Linked DNA regions of Callithrix jacchus. The protein of the gene in region 1 purifies or fractionates together with the protein of each later gene. This does not show direct contact. Links are inferred from orthologs where the notes say so. Each region holds a gene or a part of one and is shown on either strand. Other genes may lie near its edges.

Region 1 (3,822 bases):
GATTACAGGCGTGAGCCACCGCGCCCGGCTTTTTATTTTCTTCCTGCGCCAGATGTCTCCCAGGTGACCAGGGTGGACCTCAGGGGCCTGAGGTTAAAACCCAGCAGCAGTTCCACACTCGCACAGCCTTGGAAGTCACAGCTGAGCCTGGCTGCTGTGTTTACTTGTCTGGGTGACTTTCAAACAACCCTTCAATGTTAATTTGATGCAGCTCACTTTGTTCGGCAGAACTGGCGGTTACATGGCCACCAGTCAGTGAACCATTGCACTGAAGAGAGCACCTGCCTTCTGAATTGTGCAGGGAAAAGTTAGCCCATAGGCTTTTTGCTCAAAGGGAACAAACATGCTGAGTTGCAGGGCCTGGATTTCTGGAAGTTGGCATCTCATAGGAAACCTTGTTTTTCTATCCTAATTTTAAACTGTGAGGCAGACTGACGGACTTTTCAGATATGAGACATATTTTTCTTTCTTTTTTCTTTGAGACAGAGTTTTGCTCTTGTCTCCCAGGCTGGAGTGCAATGGTGTGATCTTGACTCACTGCAATCTCTGCCTCCTGGGTTCACGTAATTCTCCTGCCTCAGCCTCCCGAGTAGCTGGGATGACAGGCAGGTGCCACCATGCCCAGCTAATTTTCATATTTTTAGTAGAGACGGGTTTTCACCGTGTTGGCCAGGCTTATGAGACCTATTTTCCTTTTAGTGCCAGTCAACTTATGGAAGTTTGATACTTGGTACCATGTTGCACCACAACGGGGCCCCCTGGGTGGCTCTGGGGGTGAACTTTGAGAGTGTAAATGTTCGGAAATAGGCTTTGCACGGACAACATAACTCAGCCAACAGACGTTCTTACCTCTCCCCATCCCTTTGCGGAAGTTACTCGTCTGAGCGCAAAGTTAACGGAACCCCCTCCATTCCCATTCTGGGTTGAGAGGCTTCCAGAGAGGATGGCTGTGTCTGTCGCTGTCAAGGGTGCCTAAAAATGATATTTGCTGGTAATAAATGAATCAAAACAACAGAAAGTGCCAATGGCAGCAGCCCAAAGAACACACTGTGAGCCCACGGCCAAAGGTGCAGATGACTCCGCTGTTCAGAAGGACATATGGATGCAGGATTATTGAAGCAGCTTGACTTTTCTTCCGCTTTGTTATTTGGTCTGCATGTGACCATGAGGATAATATGTTTTGCAGAAGCTTGAATGGGCAAATTTCACCACACCAGGGGAAACATGGGGCTGCATGTCCCAATGGTATCAGACTGCATAGGGACTTCATTGTGTGCCTTCCCTCTGTGGTACACCTGGGCCTCTCCTGTCCTCGGTTGCCATCAGGGTTCTGGGGGGATTGAAGACCTTGCCATAGCTGTATTCTGTATTAACTGACTTGGGGAGCTCCAGTGGGGGCAAATTTCCCCAAGTTAGGACTTCACACTGTTGGTTGATGCATTTGATAATAAATTAATGAACTGAGGAGACACAGATCTACTATAAATGCTCAGGAGAATGGCCTGACCTTGCCACATCCAAACAGTGGGCAGAATGGTGACATTTTCATGTGCCCAGGGCTCAGGATGGGAGCTGCTATAGCCTTACGGCTCCTAGCAGAATCTGCCTTAAAACTAAAAGCGGTTGTTAGAACGATCCACGGAAGTCTTCGTTCTCTCCCAGAACCCCATGACCTTGGGCCTCTACTTCTCCCAGACCATTCACACCCTCTGCTGGAAAGGCCCGAGGCCTTGGGAGCCCAGCGCCCCAGCCCACACTCCTGCGGGCCCACATGCCAGCACAGCAGTAACACGAGGCTGGGACTGAAGCGCTTTCTTTTTTAAGTGGCTAATTGCATCTTTTCATAAATAAAGATGAGAAAAACCCTGGGCAGACTCTCATTCTAGCTGCTTGGTGTGCTGTGCCTCATTAACTCGAGCCCTTGCTGTACTTAGAGAGGTGGTTGTGTGCTTTACCTCAATGGACTGGGATATGTGCATTTTATTAATTTCAATCTGTGGAAAGCCACTGCCGGACACATCTTCGTACTCCTCGTCATAGCGATCGAAAAGGTCAGTGGCATCTACTCCAACACTGATGGTTCCCTGGGGCAGAAAAATAAGCCGTCAGCAGAAGGGGTGGTATTTGCAGAATGAAAGACAATACTACAGTTAACAGCCAGCTTGCTTGAACTGAACAAGTCATCAGACGTCAGGGTGCACTGGTTTAGGTAGGACACTCCACTAGGAAGCCCACAAAGCATGAATGTCACAGTCTGAACCAAACGACCGCAGAGCACCACAGACGTCCGGAGCTAGAAAACATTTGACAGGGAAAGCCGGTCTGCCTGTCTGCAGAGCAATGACATGCCAAACACAAAGTGCTAGTCAGAGAAGTAACAGCTCCATGGTTTGATTTTCAGACCAAACAGGACCCAGAAATGCATAAGACCACCTAGAAATTAGCTGTATGGATTAAACACTTTTTTGTAAACACCCTTATACCACAAAACTACCCTAACACTCTTTAAATAAAAACGTCTTCCAAGATGAAGCAGCACTAATTACAAACAAATGGGAGACTTAAAAATTAATCCACCTTCTCAAATTAACTTGAGAATTAAGTTATGAGAAACAGAACACTGTTCACTCAAGGAATTCTAAGCTAAAATTTTGCTGATAAAAACGCTTGTCACTCAGAAAATCAATGTTTATTATTATTCTTTTATAGTCATAACTTTAAAAATGGACATGTATCTTAATCCAGTGTATAAAACCATGGCCACACACATTTTAAATGAAACTTTTTGCAGCCCATTTAAAAAAAATCAATTGAGGTTTAATTTATGTATTGCAGTATAAACCGCACCCATCTGAAGTACACAATTCCGTGAGTTTTTGACATGTGTACGCTGGTGAAACTACCTGGTGAATTCTATCACCCCCTAAGTAGCTTGAGAGTATTTTAAGTGGTGAAGAAAGGGGCTTCTGAGAAGGGGGTGTGGGAACAAAAAATCAAATGAGAATACCCTTGTGGGCACCCAGTGGAGAGGCGAGGAGGCCTTAGGGCTAGAGCAGACGGGGCAATGGCAGATGAGTTCAGATGGTGTGTGGGTGGTCTCTAGAGTGTCATAGGTGGGGTTTAACCTGTTGTTTCTGTTGGTTTAGCCATTCGCCCAGCTTTTTCACTTTTATGCCAGAGTCGGTTTTGCAGATGGACTGTCACTTGTAATTCTAGCATCTGCCATGGTCTTATCTCACGTGTGAGGCGCACAGTGGCTTTAGGACACAGCCGGTGAGAGCCCACCACTCTTCTGCCGTTTCTTTGCAGATGAACTGCAGGAGGCAGCTCCCTTTCTAGGATGGGTGTGTGTGGTGTGCGCTGACAGTGGTGAGGTGCAGCTTACTCCTGGCCTCAGTAGTGGGGAAGTATCAGATGCTGCTACATGGCGTAGCTAGTGGTGGCCAGAGCCTTGGCCTGTGGGATGGCTGAAGCTGTCAAGCCCATGGTCAGCCACATCCCTAGGAAACTCCAAATACATATGAAAATGGGAAACACAGGTGGCCTGTGATGCAGAGCCTGTCAGAGAGCACCCTGAGCACCCTGTTACAATGTTTCTGTGCCTGTTGAATGATACCCATCAGGCTTTGCACATGGTTTCTGTGAAGAGCCGGAGTGAAGATTTTTGGTGCTGTCGGCCATGCAGTCTGCTGTCGCAATTCACCTCTGCTACTGAAGTGGGAAAGAAGCCAGGTCGCAGTAAATGACCGAGTGTGGTTGTGTTCCAAGAAAACACTGTTCATAAACCCGGAAATCTGAATTTCATGTAACCTTCGTATGTCA
Region 2 (3,822 bases), on another chromosome or scaffold:
AACTAGCCTCTGATAATATGTAACAAAATGGGTGTGCTTGTGTTCCAATAAAACTTTATTTACAAAAACAGCTAGTGGACTATAGTTTTCCCCTCCCTTGAGTTAGAAAAACCTCGCTTTTCTGCTTTTTGGCCTTTTTTCCCCTGCATTGTGTTCCATTTGTTTTGTTTTGAGACAGAGTCTCACTTTGTTGCCCAGATTGGAGTGCAATGGCACGATCTAGGCTCACTGCAACCTCTGCCTCCCAGGTTCAAGCAATTCTCCTGCCTCAGCCTCCTGAGTAGCTGGGACTGCAAGTGCGTGCCACTATGCCCAGCTAATGTGTTCTGTTTTATTTAAGATATAATTTAACATTGGCTAACTTCTTTCTGATAAAAATTATTAAAACTCCATACTAGTATTGAAGCTTTAAAAATTTAGCAGGAATTGCTATTCTGTTGATTTGTGAAATTAAAAAAAAAAAATTTTGACTAAGCACCCCCACTCTATGCCCTGATGTAAGACGTTAAAATCTGAAATAGTTCGTTTGCTCTCTTCACCCCCTCCCCAAAATATAGTGTGGTTTTAGCTAATTTATTACCTTTTATATGCCTGTTTTCATAACAGTTTGCTTTTATTTTTTCAGTCTCGGAGAAATCTATGTGAAGAGGCTTTGTTAAAAATTAAAGGTGTTATTAGCTTTACTTTTCAAATGGCTGTTCAAAGATGTGTGGTGCGAATCCGTTCAGATTTGAAAGCTGAGGTAAGTATTTGAAATGGCTGAATATGTTTGAGATTATAGGTAAACAAATAAATTTCAAAATTTTTCCTTTTTATCCTGGCTTAGGCTTTGGCATCAGCGATAGCATCAACCAAGGTTATGAAAGCTCAGCAAGTTGTGAAAAGCGAGAGTGGAGAAGAGGTAAAAGTTATATTTAGTTTTCTTTATATTGAACTCGCTCTCAATTATTTTTTATGGCTAGCAGATTGCCAGTATTTCTAAATAAATAGTGCCGAGTATGTAAGGATGTGTTGTTTCTTGGTTAATAGTTAATTGTTTTAGAAGTAGATCTTTTGTGGATATCAGAGTCTGCTCTTGCTGATTTTATATGGAAATAAAGGATACATGGCTTTCTTGCATTTATCTTTAAATACTTTCTTCCTAACCTTAACTAATCTTGACAATCCAAAAAATAAAGGTATAACAACTGGGCAAATAAATAGGATGAAAATCCTTGTCTGTTGCTACTCTTTTCACTAGCTTTTTGATGGGAGAAACAAATCTATGCCTTGAGCTCATTTGAGTTTCCAGCTCATAGTTGGGAGTTCCATGGCTCTCCAGTGGCCTGCAGTGGCTAGACACTTGCTTTAGTCACAATTACCCAGACAGAGGTTGCTCATTTACTCCTAGAATTTCAGCAGATTAACTTCTGAGTTCTCATGTACTCTGCTTACTCCCTTCTGTACTTACACAGTGCTTAGCAGTTGGGCCTACTGTCATGTAACAGCAAAGTTTACCCTGAGAATAACCACGGTAATTAGGGAGTAAAGTTGATTTTATAATGACTCTTAATATATTTTCTGTATCAGATGCTTGTCCCATTCCAAGATACTCCTGTGGAAGTAGAACAGAACACAGAGCTACCTGACTACCTGCCTGAGGATGAGAGTCCCACAAAGGAACAGGACAAAGCGGTGTCCCGGGTGGGATCACACCCAGAGGGTGGAGCTAGCTGGCTGAGCACAGCTGCAAACTTTTTATCCAGATCATTTTATTGGTGACTTCAGTTTGGGGCTCAAGGACTGTGTGAACCAACAAGGGGCCAGTTTTCCATTGTTTTGGTGAACTGTCAAGTGCAATTTGCAATAAGTTATCATGGAAGGTTTTTAGATTACGTGATTGCATATGCTGCATTTTACATTTCATTGGACATTTTACCCCACTGAGTGGTAAAAAGGACAGTGGCTATGGATGGAGTTGCTTTGTTTATGAAAGTATTTTGGTTTTGTTTTCCTTCATTTAATTGCCTCATATTTTAAAAACCATGGGTCCACTGTTGAAACCAAACATGTGTGTGCAGCTTTACATTTTATTTTACATGAAGCACGTGATTAGGAAAACTCGTTTTCTCCTCAAGCCTCAGGACCTACCTGAAGAAAAGTTTTCTTGTAGCTCAAGTTGTGCATGAATTACTGAATATTTTACTCTGCTTTTCTTCATGAAAGTTACATGCTTTGGTACTCCTCACTGAAAGCTGAAAACATTTCTTGTTACCCTCTTTTGTGCCTTTTTATTTTGCCAACCATGTTTATAGAAAGGACATTACTAATGACATTTTGAAAATTAAAAACATTTATTTGAACATGGTAGTCCCTTAGAAAAACAACTCTACAGAGATTTTGCAGCCTTATTCATTATAATTTTAATAAAATTAACACGATCAGTCAAGAAGAAGGAAACATGTATGTTAGTAAAGTGTTTTTGGAGACTATTTGAATGTGACTAAATGTGGTTCTAGTTGACTTCTTTTCACTTTGGTTTCTATCAGCTCTTGAGAGTTAAGTCCAACCACGATATTGCAAACAACTGTAAATGGTCTCTAGGCCTTACTTTGTGTTACACGTTATCTCCTGATAGAAAAAAATAATGATAGTAAAGAACTGACAAACTGAAAAAAAAAAAAAAAAATCAAATGCCTATAATAACATAACGCCACTTTGGTGTAGAGTCTAACTGTAAGACATGAATTGCTTGACCGAAGCCTATTCAGTAGGTGTTTCTTTGTATTGCCTTTCGTGAATTTATTTTGAAAATGCTGCAGTTGCATTGAATGATAAAGACCCAAATTATTGCTTAAGAAGAAATAAAACCAGCATTGATCACTTAATCCTGTTTCTCATGTCCAGCCAGAAAAACGAACTTCAGTGAAGGTAAGATAAATAAATACATATACATACAATTTTTTTTGGTAGATGAGTGCTAATTTACATATATGTAATGCTTTATTAAATTTCTGAAATATTTAGTAACAAAAGTTTTCTTTTTGGAAATTAAATCCAAATACATTTTAATGTTGATATGACTGAAAATGGGAAGAAATTGGAATTCCTTTTCATCAACATGTAGAGTTGCTATTTTACTATTTGGAGAATGCAATGTGAAAATTGGACCCCAAAGGGTTTTCTTGTGTTTTCATTGTAAAATACCATCACCAGTGAGAGTCTTGAGTTCACTAACATTGTGACCTTCTGGAGGGAGAGTTATAGGGGGTATTGAGGATGATTTTTTTCATGTGTCTGGTTTCCGATTCAAGTGACATGCACAAACTGAAAAACAAAAACAAAAAACCAAAACTCTGAGGGCGCCTGTTGCTCTAAACGCATAATAGAACTTGCTGCCAGACCAGATGTGTTGAAAAAGGAAAATAAAACCACCTTCTTTCTAGAGCCATTAAAGCAAAGTTTACTGTTCTAACAAATTTGTATTTTATTTTGCTTTGCCACACATCTGCTTATTTAAAAACTACATCCCTTTGGTAGTAATGGTTCAGGACAAGTAGGTATTACTGCTTGATGTTTGTGTGTTTGAAGTGTGTTCTTTTATTCCAGATCATATAGAGCAGTTAAGGCAACTGTAACAGCATTTTTTGAAATACATTGTAAAATAATAAAAGGTAACATAATTAAAATTGATTGGATATTATGTAAATGTGGTATAAGCATCACTAATTACTCCTTTTATTTTTAAATTTTATTTTAAGTTCTGGGATACATGTGCAGAACGTGCAGGTTTGTTACATAGGTATACATGTGCCATGGTGGTTGGCTGCACCTATCAACTCG

Evidence for each region.
Region 2: the proteins of DNAJC11 (region 1) and ARMC1 purify together in Homo sapiens (affinity purification with mass spectrometry; 4 studies listed by BioGRID and IntAct, counting the BioPlex papers as one, with this or other methods). This does not show direct contact. The link is inferred for Callithrix jacchus from reciprocal best matches to the Homo sapiens genes DNAJC11 and ARMC1.

The regions. Positions count from the first base shown.
Region 1 is NC_133508.1:44,553,326-44,557,147, forward strand, and holds part of DNAJC11 (dnaJ homolog subfamily C member 11), read right to left. Parts: intron 2,085-3,822; coding exon 1,956-2,084; intron 973-1,955; coding exon 850-972; intron 1-849.
Region 2 is NC_133517.1:21,485,093-21,488,914, reverse strand, and holds the end of ARMC1 (armadillo repeat-containing protein 1), read left to right. Parts: intron 1-625; coding exon 626-742; intron 743-826; coding exon 827-901; intron 902-1,569; coding exon 1,570-1,761; 3' UTR 1,762-3,668; downstream 3,669-3,822.